3 linked regions of the Drosophila melanogaster genome follow. The protein of the gene in region 1 interacts with the protein of each later gene in a pairwise test. Each region holds a gene or a part of one and is shown on either strand. Other genes may lie near its edges.

Region 1 (3,754 bases):
ATTAAAAAAAAAAAAAATCTTTTTATTTTAAGCTGAAAAAATATTTTCGGAACAGTGGAAAAGGAATAGGCTAACAAAAATTGAATTCAGTTGGCAGCAATTTTGAGCTTATCGATGTCAATTTCAGTCGGAGCACCTGGTCACACTGTCGTCGGTGTGCATGGGGAATAAGAACAAGAAAGATTAGATTCGTGCAGGCCAACGTATTTGCTCTAAATAGAATATCTGCAGAAACATGGACAACTTCGGACTGGGCGGATCGGATCTAAGCAAGGGGCAGATATTCCAGGTACTGGTTCGCCTGTCTGTGGCCTCGCTGATCACATATTATTCGGTGAAATGGATGATGAACCAGATGGATCCGACCAGTAAAAACAAGAAAAAGGCCAAAGTTCTGGCTGAGGAGCAGCTTAAGAGGTTTATATTAGACTCATATAGCATATATTGTACATGTGTAAACCTTTTCCATGCAGGCTAGCCGAGCAGGAGGGCTTCAAGCTAAGAGGGCAAGAGTTTAGCGACTACGAGCTTATGATTGCGTCACATCTTGTTGTTCCCGCCGACATAACAGTCAGTTGGGCCGATATCGCCGGTCTGGATTCAGTCATTCAGGAGCTCCGGGAATCGGTGGTGCTGCCAATCCAGCACAAGGATCTCTTCAAGCATTCGAAGCTGTGGCAGGCGCCCAAAGGCGTCCTGCTCCATGGACCACCGGGCTGTGGAAAGACGCTGATAGCGAAGGCGACGGCAAAAGAGGCGGGAATGCGCTTTATCAACTTGGACGTCGCCATTCTTACCGACAAGTGGTACGGGGAATCCCAGAAATTGACTTCTGCTGTCTTCTCGCTTGCATCGCGAATCGAGCCATGCATTATTTTTATTGACGAAATAGACTCATTTTTGCGATCTCGAAACATGAACGACCACGAGGCTACCGCCATGATGAAGACCCAGTTTATGATGCTGTGGGATGGCCTCAGCACGAACGCCAACTCGACGGTGATTGTGATGGGTGCCACGAACAGGCCGCAGGATTTAGACAAGGCCATTGTGCGCCGCATGCCAGCCCAATTCCACATTGGTCTGCCCTCGGAGACCCAACGAAAAGACATCCTGAAGCTGATCCTCCAATCGGAGGAAGTAAGTCAGGATGTCGACTTGAATCGCTTGTCCAAGCTCACAAATGGCTTCTCGGGCTCAGACCTGCGGGAAATGTGCCGGAATGCTTCAGTTTACCGAATGAGGCAGCTCATCACGTCCAGAGATCCGTCAGCTACAGCGCTTGATCGCAACAACGTCCGCATCACCATGGACGATTTGCTGGGCTCGCACTTAAAAATTAAGGAATCAAAGATGCACACGAGCAGCCTATTCTTAGAGAATAGAATCGAATTAGATTAAGCTGACCATTGTTTATTCAAGCTCCCGATATATCCAACTTAAATTTGTATAATAAACTTTTTATTTGCCTTTCGAGAGGAGCTCCAATGTTATGTGTTAATTAACCCTGTTCTCTGCATTCCAAAATGGGTATCCGGAAAACGTAGTTTTGGTAGTCTTGAAAACAGCAACGGATACTGCAGGAAATTACACAATCCATAGCATTTCCGTAAAGCGGAGCTCAATGCACTTTAATTATTACATTTACGGGCTTCTGTGAAATATTCACCTAGAGAAATTTCAAACATTTATAAAGATATTGCACTTGTACACTTCTTCAAACACACACACAACTTGCGTCACGCGACCGTGGGCTTTCAATCGTAAAAAAAAATATAAGTAAACTTGTGCAGTTTTATTCTCTTTTAAAAAGGTCGTTTATTTCTGACGGCATTTCAAAGCTACACATTTGTATATCTAATTAAAAATGAATAAAAACATGCATACATTTTAAATAATCAAACCAAAACAAATTAGTTCTTGATGTTTTTGTATAATTTCTTAATTTAAGAAAAATATAGAGTGTACAAACTTCAAGCGAAGAAATTTGCTTCTGCACATTTTAATTATGTTTCGTGCTCATATAAATACTTTCTTCGATTGGCTCAAATCATTTCTGTTGAAGGCGTTGATTAAACCACTTCAAATCCAAGCGAGACTATATACTTAACAAAAAATGAACCCAATGGTAAGCTATATTTCCAATTTGTCTTTTTGATAGGAGATATTTTGTATGTACATACTTCATTTACGCGCATCCTTTCTATTTCAGTTAACTTTGATTCCTGGATACCTATTCATAACCTTAATAATTATTGGAAGTACTGCACACAGTAATTCCTATGCTGTGAATAAAACCAATAGTGTCGAAAGTGCCGAGTGGAGCTATCCTGAATACGGAAAAGGATCTACTCACAATACCGGAAGAAGATCGGAAAAGCTGGATCTGCAACATTATAATCGGGAAACCGAACGCAATGTGACTTTGAAACGCGGTGTGAAAAACTATCAAAAGCAAGGCGATAAAATGACGAGGAATAAACTGAAATATAAGCCATCTGGTGCTCGAAGAAAAAATGTGAGTCCCAATTATGCGGATGAGAGTACGGAAAGTAGGCATTATCATACATTCGAAGAGATCCACGAGCATATCGATGAGGACGATGGTCAATACCAGGCATCCGAACAGGTCGGAACACAAGCGATTCTGCACGAACATGTCGAGCACTCGAGTAAGAAGGATGCGAAGCGGATGAAGGTGAAAATCAAGCATCATCATCACCACCATCATCACAACCACATAAAGGAGCTGATCAAAACAGTACCACAACCGTATCCCGTGGAAAAGGTCGTCCATGTGCCCATTGAGAAAATTGTCGAGAAGATCGTACATGTGCCCAAGCTGGTGAATGTTACAGTTGAGAAAATAGTGCACGTGCCTATCGAAAAGATAGTGGAAAAGGTGATTCACATCCCAAAGCCAGTCCAAGTGCCCAAACCATATGTGGTCGAAAAGATAATTGAGAAAATAGTCCACGTACCGAAACCGTATCCAGTGCTCCGGACTGTTCCGTATCCGGTCGAAATAAAGGTGCCAGTTCATCTCGAGAAGAAGGTACCAGTGCCCTATAAGGTTGAGGTAGAACGAAAGGTTCCCGTTTACATTCGTTCCAGCGAGCCATATAAGTTCGAGTCATCATCACTCTACGAAAGTTATCCACGCGGCGAGGAGTTCAAATTTAACATGGAAATGGATCATCCACCGCCCAGAGAACACGAACCATCCAGCCTACCATCCTCAAACTACTACAACAGGATATACAAATCTAGGGAATTGGATCATCCTCCGAGGATGGAGGACTATCAAAGCTCCGTGCCCACACAGTTAAAGCACGATTACGCAACGAAAACTAATCTCGATCAGCAGTTTAAAAACGAGTACGTGACGAAAAGTAGTATTGATCCTCAATTTAAGCACGATTACGTGACGAAAAGTAGTATTGATCCTCAATTTAAGCACGATTACGTGACGAAAAGTAGTATTGATCCTCAATTTAAGCACGATTACGTAACAAAAAGTAGTTTTGATTCGCAGTATAACCAGGAATACGTACCCAAAACTAGCATTGAATCGACTTCTCCTGGACGGGATGGGGTTTCCCTGAAACTCGTCGGTCCCCCTACTCCTTTCAATATCACGGGAAAGGATTTGGAGACCGCCAACTCTGCTCCAGACTTTGTCAATAGCTCCAACGTAGACCTAAGTCCACAGGAATCGGCTAATGCCTATCGCGGTATGCCATTCTCCATACCA
Region 2 (3,754 bases), on another chromosome or scaffold:
TGCTTCAGCTGAATGATGGCTCTAGCCGGATTGAGGTGCTTGGGGCACGTGTTGGTGCAGTTCATGATCGAGTGGCAGCGGTATAGCTTCCAGGGGTCCTTGAGAAAGTCCAGTCGCTGCTCGGTGGCCTCGTCCCTGCAAAGCAAATCTTAGCACACTGGGGAAACTGGCAGCAACATGGCCTCACTCACCTGGAATCAATGACCCAGCGATAGGCCTGCATGAGGACGGCGGGACCCAGATACTTATTGCTGTTCCACCAGTATGATGGACAGGAGGTCTGGCAGCAGGCGCACAGGATGCACTCGTACAGCCCGTCCAGCACCAGACGATCGTCCACGGACTGCAGATACTGTGCCGTTCCAGCTTCCCGCTTCAGATCCTTGCGCTGCAGCCACGGCTGGATGGAGCGGTACTGATCGTAGAACTGGCTCATGTCCGGCACCAAATCCCGCACCACATACAGGTGCGGCAGTGGATAGATGCGGCAGCACTTGCTCTCATTCTGGTCGATGGACGACACGCAGGCCAAGGTGTTTGTTCCATTGATGTTCATCGCGCAGGAGCCGCAGATGCCCTCGCGACAGGAGCGCCTAAAGGTCAGCGTGGGGTCCATCTCGTTCTTGATCTTGATCAGGGCATCCAGCACCATGGCGCCGCACTGCTCCAGGTCCACCTCGTAGGTCTGCGTCTGCGGCTGATCCCCGGGCTTCCAGCGGTAGATCTCGAAGGTCTTCAATCGCGGCTTCTTCGCTTTCACTGGGGGTGCAGATTTAGCAGGCGGAGGAGGTGGTGGAGGTGGAGGCGTTGCTGGTGCGTTGCCCGAAGCTGGCTTTCCGGTGGACGCTCCTCCGGGCTTGGCGGATCCGGCGGCGGCGGCAGCTGCTCCTCCAGGCTTGGCGGCTCCGGCGGGGGCTGCTCCTCCGGGCTTGGCGGCTCCGGCGGGGGCTGCTCCTCCCGGCTTGGCGGCTCCGGCGGGGGCTGCTCCTCCGGAGTACTGTCGTTTTGTGGCGATTCCTCCGGCGGCTGATCCTCCGGTGGCTGATCCTCTGAGCCCTCTTCCTCCTTTAATGAATATAGAAATTTCAGTTAAGCATATCAATAAGTGCAGGTGTCATTTATGAAATGTCATTATGACAAAGTCATTGACAACCCAGAAAATTGTGGAATCAGAAAACTTTTCACTTAGAACTAACCTGCTCCTTGTCCACCTCCTTGGAGGCTGGAGTGGGTGCACCGGGGTACCAGGGATACGGCGGATACTGGGGTGGCGGCAGCCAGCGCTGGTCCGGGTATCGATAGGGTGGACATAGGCGCCGCAGGACGGGAAACGGGTTCGGACACATCCCTGTTGGCCAACACGTAATTTCTAAACAGCCACGTGCTCCGTTTATTCAGCAGCCGAGGCTGCCGGCGCAACAAATTCATCGGTTTTCGAGCGAATGAATGAGACTTTAAGTTAAAATGTGTACTTATAAAAATATATGTGTTTTTTTTTTTTTTTTGTTGAGAGAGAATGTGTGCCGAGGCGATGAGGTGTTGAGGTGTTGAGGTGTTGAAGTGTCGAACTGTGTAGCAAAACTGAGGAGAAGCCGGTGAAGTGCCCGTAATACGACTTGACACTAGAGGCATAGCCAGCTGGATTTGAAAATCTTTTCGAAATGAAAAGTTCAGTTTAACTGAGTAGTAGAACAGGCTGCTTTATACAATGTTTTGGATGCGTGGAATTTAAATCAACTAAAGAGAGTTCCTCGACTATAAGATACCCGTTACTCAGCTAGTGGATGTGAGAACGCGAAATTTTATCATTTTCTGGGCAAATCGATAGAAATTTACAAGATTAATAAAAATGCGAAAAAAGATCAACAAACTTGCGCTACGTCTTTGTCTCTAGAATCTGTATGCTGGATCTCAACCTTCTAGGTACGGACATGGCGGACAGACGGACATGACTAGATCGACTCCTGATCAAGAATATATATACTGTACATGGTCGGAAACGCCTTCTTCTGACTGCTACATACTTTTCAACAAATTTAGGGTACCCTTTTACTCTTCGAGTAACGGGTATAAAAATGGATAACAAGTCAGATTTGAATCCCCGTTGCTGAACCGGTAAATTGATATAGAAATTGTAATTCAATCCAAAACCGAACTCATTTTAAGCAGAAATTGTTACAAAAATACAATATATTAATATAAATACAAGTATTAATTAATATTATTAATTTTAATAATATTTTTAATGTTAAATTAATATTTATTTATAGTTAAAGGCACTTAATTATTTAATTATATTTTATTATAATAATGTGATACAATAATAAACAATATTTTCAAACTTATACCGATCGATATGTACCGCCGTGCTGACTGTAATCGATGGTCGCGATGCCCTGCCAATCGACTATCGATAACAACAAACACGAAGATATAGAGGAAAATAGAGAAGAAGAAGAGTTAAAGAAAACGCCAACAAAATAGACAACAAGGCAAGTCCGCGCCTCCGAACAAGGACATTATACCACAAGACACGCTGCAACTAGTTATAAGCCGCATAGCCGTGCTGATTTTCGACCGGAGTACGAAAAGAAAGCAGCCAAAACGGAGGCGCGCAGGCTAGCGGAGATCGCGGCGATGGAGAAGAAGGCCAAGGAGTCGCTGCGCCGCTACAAGAAGGCCGCCCGTCACAGTGCGACGCACTCGAGCAGCTCGGACTCCACCTCGGACTCCGACAGCGGGAGCAGCTCGTACAGCAGCACGGACAGCGAGCAGGGCGTGGGCGGCGTCGGCGTGGGGGTGGGCGTACCTGGTGGCGCCGGTGGTCCCGGCGGCAGTGGCAGCGTCCACGGTCATCCCCATACCCACGGCCATGGGCATCATCCGCGCTCCGCGGAGCGTCATCATCGCAAAAAGAAGAGCTCACGGCGCGGCGGCAGCTCGTCCGGAGATGAACCATCGTCGTCGCGCCGCAAGCGAGACAAACGGGATCATGTGCAAAAGAAGCTGGTGGCCAAGCGAAATCATATCAAACGGAAACTGAAGGAAGCGCGCCTTAAGAAACGGGCGGCCGCCGCCCTCAGTGGTCACGTCCATCGTTCCCTGTCGCCGACGACGCGAGCCAAGCTAAAGAAGCTGGCCGAGCGAAAGAGGCTACGGGCTGCCAGCAAGGAGCAACGGGAGCGGGACAAGCTGCGCGTCGTCCAACGAGACAGAGAGCGAGACCATCATCGATTGGGCAGCAGTAGGAGTCCGCCGAGCAGCAGCACTACCACCACCACCAAGATTCGCATCCATCAGGACATCGTGGGTAAGCGGCAAAAGAGTCCAGGTAACTATCAGATACTACATATAGTTATGTCTAGGCTCAACCCACTAACCCATTAATTTTGCTTGACTTTAAGGTTTAGGTTCTGGTCTTGGAGGCGGCAGCAGCAGCTCATCCTCGCGAATGCATCACCAACTGATGTCGCGAGAGAAGATCATCATCCAGACCCGCGCACGTGGACGTACTCCGTCCCTGGAACGGGAGCGGGAAAGGGAGCGCGAGCGAGAACGAGAAAGAGAGCGCGAACGCCACGATCTCTCATTGCGGGAGCGAGATCGTCGGGATCGGGAGCGCGAGCGTGCGGAACGGGAGGCAGCCAGGGATAAGGAGCGCGCTGAGGCCTTGGCTCGCTGCCAAGAACGTCAACGGGAGCGGGAACGCTTGGCTCGCGAAAAGTTGCGTCGTCAGGAGGAAGAGGAAGGTGGT
Region 3 (3,754 bases), 2.4 Mb from region 1:
GTTTAAGTAGGTTGTCAGTTCCATGAATCGCTGGGCATCCACGGCCATCAGGTTGACGATCTCGCCCACGGTGGACTCCTTTTTGGTGGAGTTCGAAATGCGCAGGGCCTTGCGGTAGATGGCATTGATCAAAGCTGTCCTGATTCGCAGGCCCACAATGAACATTCGGTGGAAATATTGCCCCAGAATAAAGGTCTGTGCAGCGGCCAAAACGAAAAGCAGGACAGCGTATAAGATACCCTTCCATTCGGGCTCGGCATCTTGGGCCTCGACGAAGCTGATGATCAAACTCAGGACTTGGGGCTGGGCAAATGTCAGGGTGTCGGTGAACAGCTTCATTAGGGCGCCGAACAGAAAGACGCCTCCGAAGGACTTGTAAATTGGCGGCATAATACTGGCCATGCCCTTCTTGCGGCCATTCTTCTCACCGTGGGGATTCTCAAAGGTCACGTTGCCATTGCTAAACTGCGCCTTGGGTTCTACGCGCGCCTTGTTCTTGTAGTTCTTGCGCACGTTCTGGTTCCAGTGGTGGGCGAAGATGGGCATGACCTCGGAGCAGCTGTCCTGCGGCCTCAGGTCCCACAGATCCTTCTCCTCCAGCGGGTTGCGATAGCCCTTGAGGGCCATTTTGTCGAACCACTGATAGGTGATGCGGGAAAGGAAACTGGCTGACAGTTCGGGAATCTCGTTCTCACCCCTCTGGTACTTGGTTTGTCTGGGCATTCCGTCCGCGAAGCAGTTCAGGATCAGCATAATGCTGGTGAAGGTGAAGAAGATAAAGAAGCTAACGAACTGATACTCCTCCCAGGAAAAGTCCTGCTCGGATGGCTGTTGCGAATTCAGAATCTTCTGGCGCTCCGCGTCCAGTCGAACTTCAGTGCGGCAGCGGGGAATCGACAGCACAGTGAGCAGGAACCAGAAGATGAACTGACATCCCGTGGTCTGCACGCCATACTTTCGATTCAGCGGGATGAATATGAAGAGCAACAGGAAGGTGGCGAACTTGATGATGGGACCCCAAACATCCAGGTCGTAGAGCGGCAGCTCAGAGTCGCCGCCCTTCTTGACCAGCGCCATAATTAGGTCCAGGGCAGTGATTACCAGCAGACCCAGATTCACCAGAGCTTTGCTCACGTTCAGCTTGTTCCACGGTATATTCCTGTCCAAACTCGCCTTCAGGTAGTAAAAGTCAAAGATCACGAACGCCCAGTAGAAGGCGCAGGGTGTCCAGACCAGCGCCGTTTGCTCAAAGCAGGGCGTAAAGTCCGGATCGTTGGTATACCATGTCTCTGTTGCGTTCTGTTCGTTGGACACACGGAAACCATACATTTACACTATGCATTCGGATTGAACACCACTGCTGATGCACTCACCCAGAACGTGGATCCGCAGAATCTGTCCATCGGCGAACTAGTGTCATCCGCCATGGTTACTCGACTGCTCGGCAACCTCCTCCACGTGCAATTGGGCTATATGCGTATGCTATATCGGGCGATGTGGTAACTGTAAAGCGGCAAGGAAATAAACGGATCTATATTTTCGGGCCAACAGCTGTTCCTTCCCAAGCCGCACAACTACAACAACCGCTAATCGTGACAGTGGGAAGTTGATTGCTAGTATTTTTCTGGTATTTCGCGGGCACAGTGGGTGTCGGATGGAAAATGAGTGTATAATTCTGCACTGCGTGTTATTTTAATTGTTTATATTGATTTAAGTGAAACTTGTAATTTTTGTACATAAATTATTAAAATACATTTGCTTGGAAAACTTAGTAGAAGCAAGTAGAAATCAATTGCATTTGCAACAGCAAAAATACAAATGAATTTCTTAAATTTGGATTAAGCTTTTAAAGTTTCATATAGAAATTCATAGCAATTATTCTCGAAAATTCTTGTCATTTACTTTTTATTAATGAGCACCCTGTACAGGGAAAACGCCTATCTAGTATTTTTAGCCTATCGCATGGCATTAAATGTTTTTCCACCGGCGTTCACACTGTCACATTAGTTTTCATTTCAATCGAGTTGACAGCTCCATTCTGGCAAATAAAATTTGCGTTTTTCGCTCGTCGCTCAGCGCAAAAATAGCATTTGCATTGGATTAACTCGTAACTGGCAATTGAAATCGTGCAGCAAAATGTCGCGTCGTTCCAATTTCATTGAGGGCAACGACAATTTTCGCGACCAGAACCTGCGCTTTGTGCGGGTAAGCAAAACTTGAGAAATTCGATGTGAGGAACTATCTGCGCCACTAAAGATGAACTTGTTTTTTTTTTTTTTCATTTTCTAAATGCAGAACGAGTTTGAGGACAATATTAACCAGTACTTTGGAGGCGCCGATCCGGAGGGCAGCGGCCCGCAGCAGAAACCGCCGCCGCGAGACTCGCTGATTGTCCAGCCGACCGCAGGTAAGTGGCGTCCATTGCAACAGCCGGAGCTTCACATGGCACAGCAATCGCTGCCGGTGGCGCGGAGAATCTAACCGGAGATTACAGCCAGCTAGTAGTAGGCATGACTCTGGGTTTATGGTCTACTTAGCACTTGTGTGTGCACAGTAATCTCTGCGAGCGCGGAACCATGTCAACCTGATAAACATCTCACGTCGACGTCGATTGCGCGTAATCGCTCGGGGTGGTACAGTGAACCCGCGATAAGGCGAACAAACGCACGCGAATGGAACACGTCATAGGACAGAAAAACCCATCCTAACGAATCTTCGACAAGACTTTAAAAACCAATTACGAATATTGAAAACATATCCGAATTACTTGTATTTAAAATTGAATCAATTGCTCTAAATTTTTTAATTAATTCCGTAAGTTAACTATAGTTTGTGCACACTTTTTGTATATTCAAATTTCCAATCTTTTAATGGTTATTAATTAGTATTTTGCACTTAACTATTGGATAATTCGTCAAAACAAAGGCAAAAAATCAATTATCCAAACAAATCAGTTTAATTCCTATGCACACTATTATTTGACAAACTATCTATCGTATTGAAACAAAAAGAGGGTTGAGCGGGTAGTTAGTACGAAGTTTTGTAATCTAGCCGTCGTTATTGTGCGCTACGGCAGTTAAGTGTTTACATGTCCAGGGCCACTTGGAGGAAGGTCTAATCGCGCCCACTTGAAACGATAGTTTATAGTCCAGCGAGATTGTACAATGCCAATGACAAATGAGCGACTAAAACGTGTTTCCCCGCCTCGAAGAAGAACTAATTTACACAGAGATACACACAACTAAAAAGAAGGAATGAGAAACTTTAAGCGAATCTTGAACGGAGCTCATAAAAGGTATTGGGCTAGTCACATTTTATGGGCGCCAAAAACTTGTTTGCCCCGTACACGCATGTGTTTTAAGCCATTTGACTTTAGATAAAATTCTAACACATCTGAAACGAGTATTTTCAGTTCGATATAATTAACGGCGAAACCTGTTCCCGCAGCGATTATATAAGCACAAAACAATCGGCAGAAAAAACCCCCTTACAAAACCTAATATTTCAATTGTACGAAATGTGTGTGTTTTGCCTTTACACCCAAGTGAAATTTCTCTTTAAAAACAAAAACGTCGACTCACGATGAGATGCTAAGCAAAATGGCATGGAGATCTCTTGGCTGCACCATAAAATCAAGGAGAAAACCTGACAATTTTCTCAGCAAAAAACGCCACTCTCTTCACAACCTGACTGACACACACGGTTTGTTTGTTCTGGATCAGATCATGCCAGCCGGCACAAATTGTTTACACCG

The links.
Region 2: the proteins of CG13138 (region 1) and SdhBL interact in a two-hybrid assay, tested with the Drosophila melanogaster proteins (one large-scale study listed by BioGRID).
Region 3: the proteins of CG13138 (region 1) and Pih1D1 interact in a two-hybrid assay, tested with the Drosophila melanogaster proteins (one large-scale study listed by BioGRID).

The regions. Positions count from the first base shown.
Region 1 is NT_033779.5:10,300,318-10,304,071, reverse strand, and holds the start of CG13138 (uncharacterized protein), read left to right. Parts: upstream 1-2,053; 5' UTR 2,054-2,116; coding exon 2,117-2,128; intron 2,129-2,212; coding exon 2,213-3,754. Other genes in the region: nmd (no mitochondrial derivative), read left to right, coding at 236-417, 474-1,401.
Region 2 is NC_004354.4:18,892,336-18,896,089, reverse strand, and holds the start of SdhBL (succinate dehydrogenase, subunit B (iron-sulfur)-like), read right to left. Parts: upstream 1,645-3,754; 5' UTR 1,429-1,644; coding exon 1,197-1,428; intron 1,066-1,196; coding exon 192-1,065; intron 136-191; coding exon 1-135. Other genes in the region: Flacc (Fl(2)d-associated complex component), read left to right, coding at 2,638-3,331, 3,405-3,754.
Region 3 is NT_033779.5:12,720,104-12,723,857, reverse strand, and holds the start of Pih1D1 (PIH1 domain containing 1), read left to right. Parts: upstream 1-2,014; 5' UTR 2,015-2,136; coding exon 2,137-2,205; intron 2,206-2,295; coding exon 2,296-2,407; intron 2,408-3,754. Other genes in the region: MRP (Multidrug-Resistance like protein 1), read right to left, coding at 1-1,299, 1,374-1,427.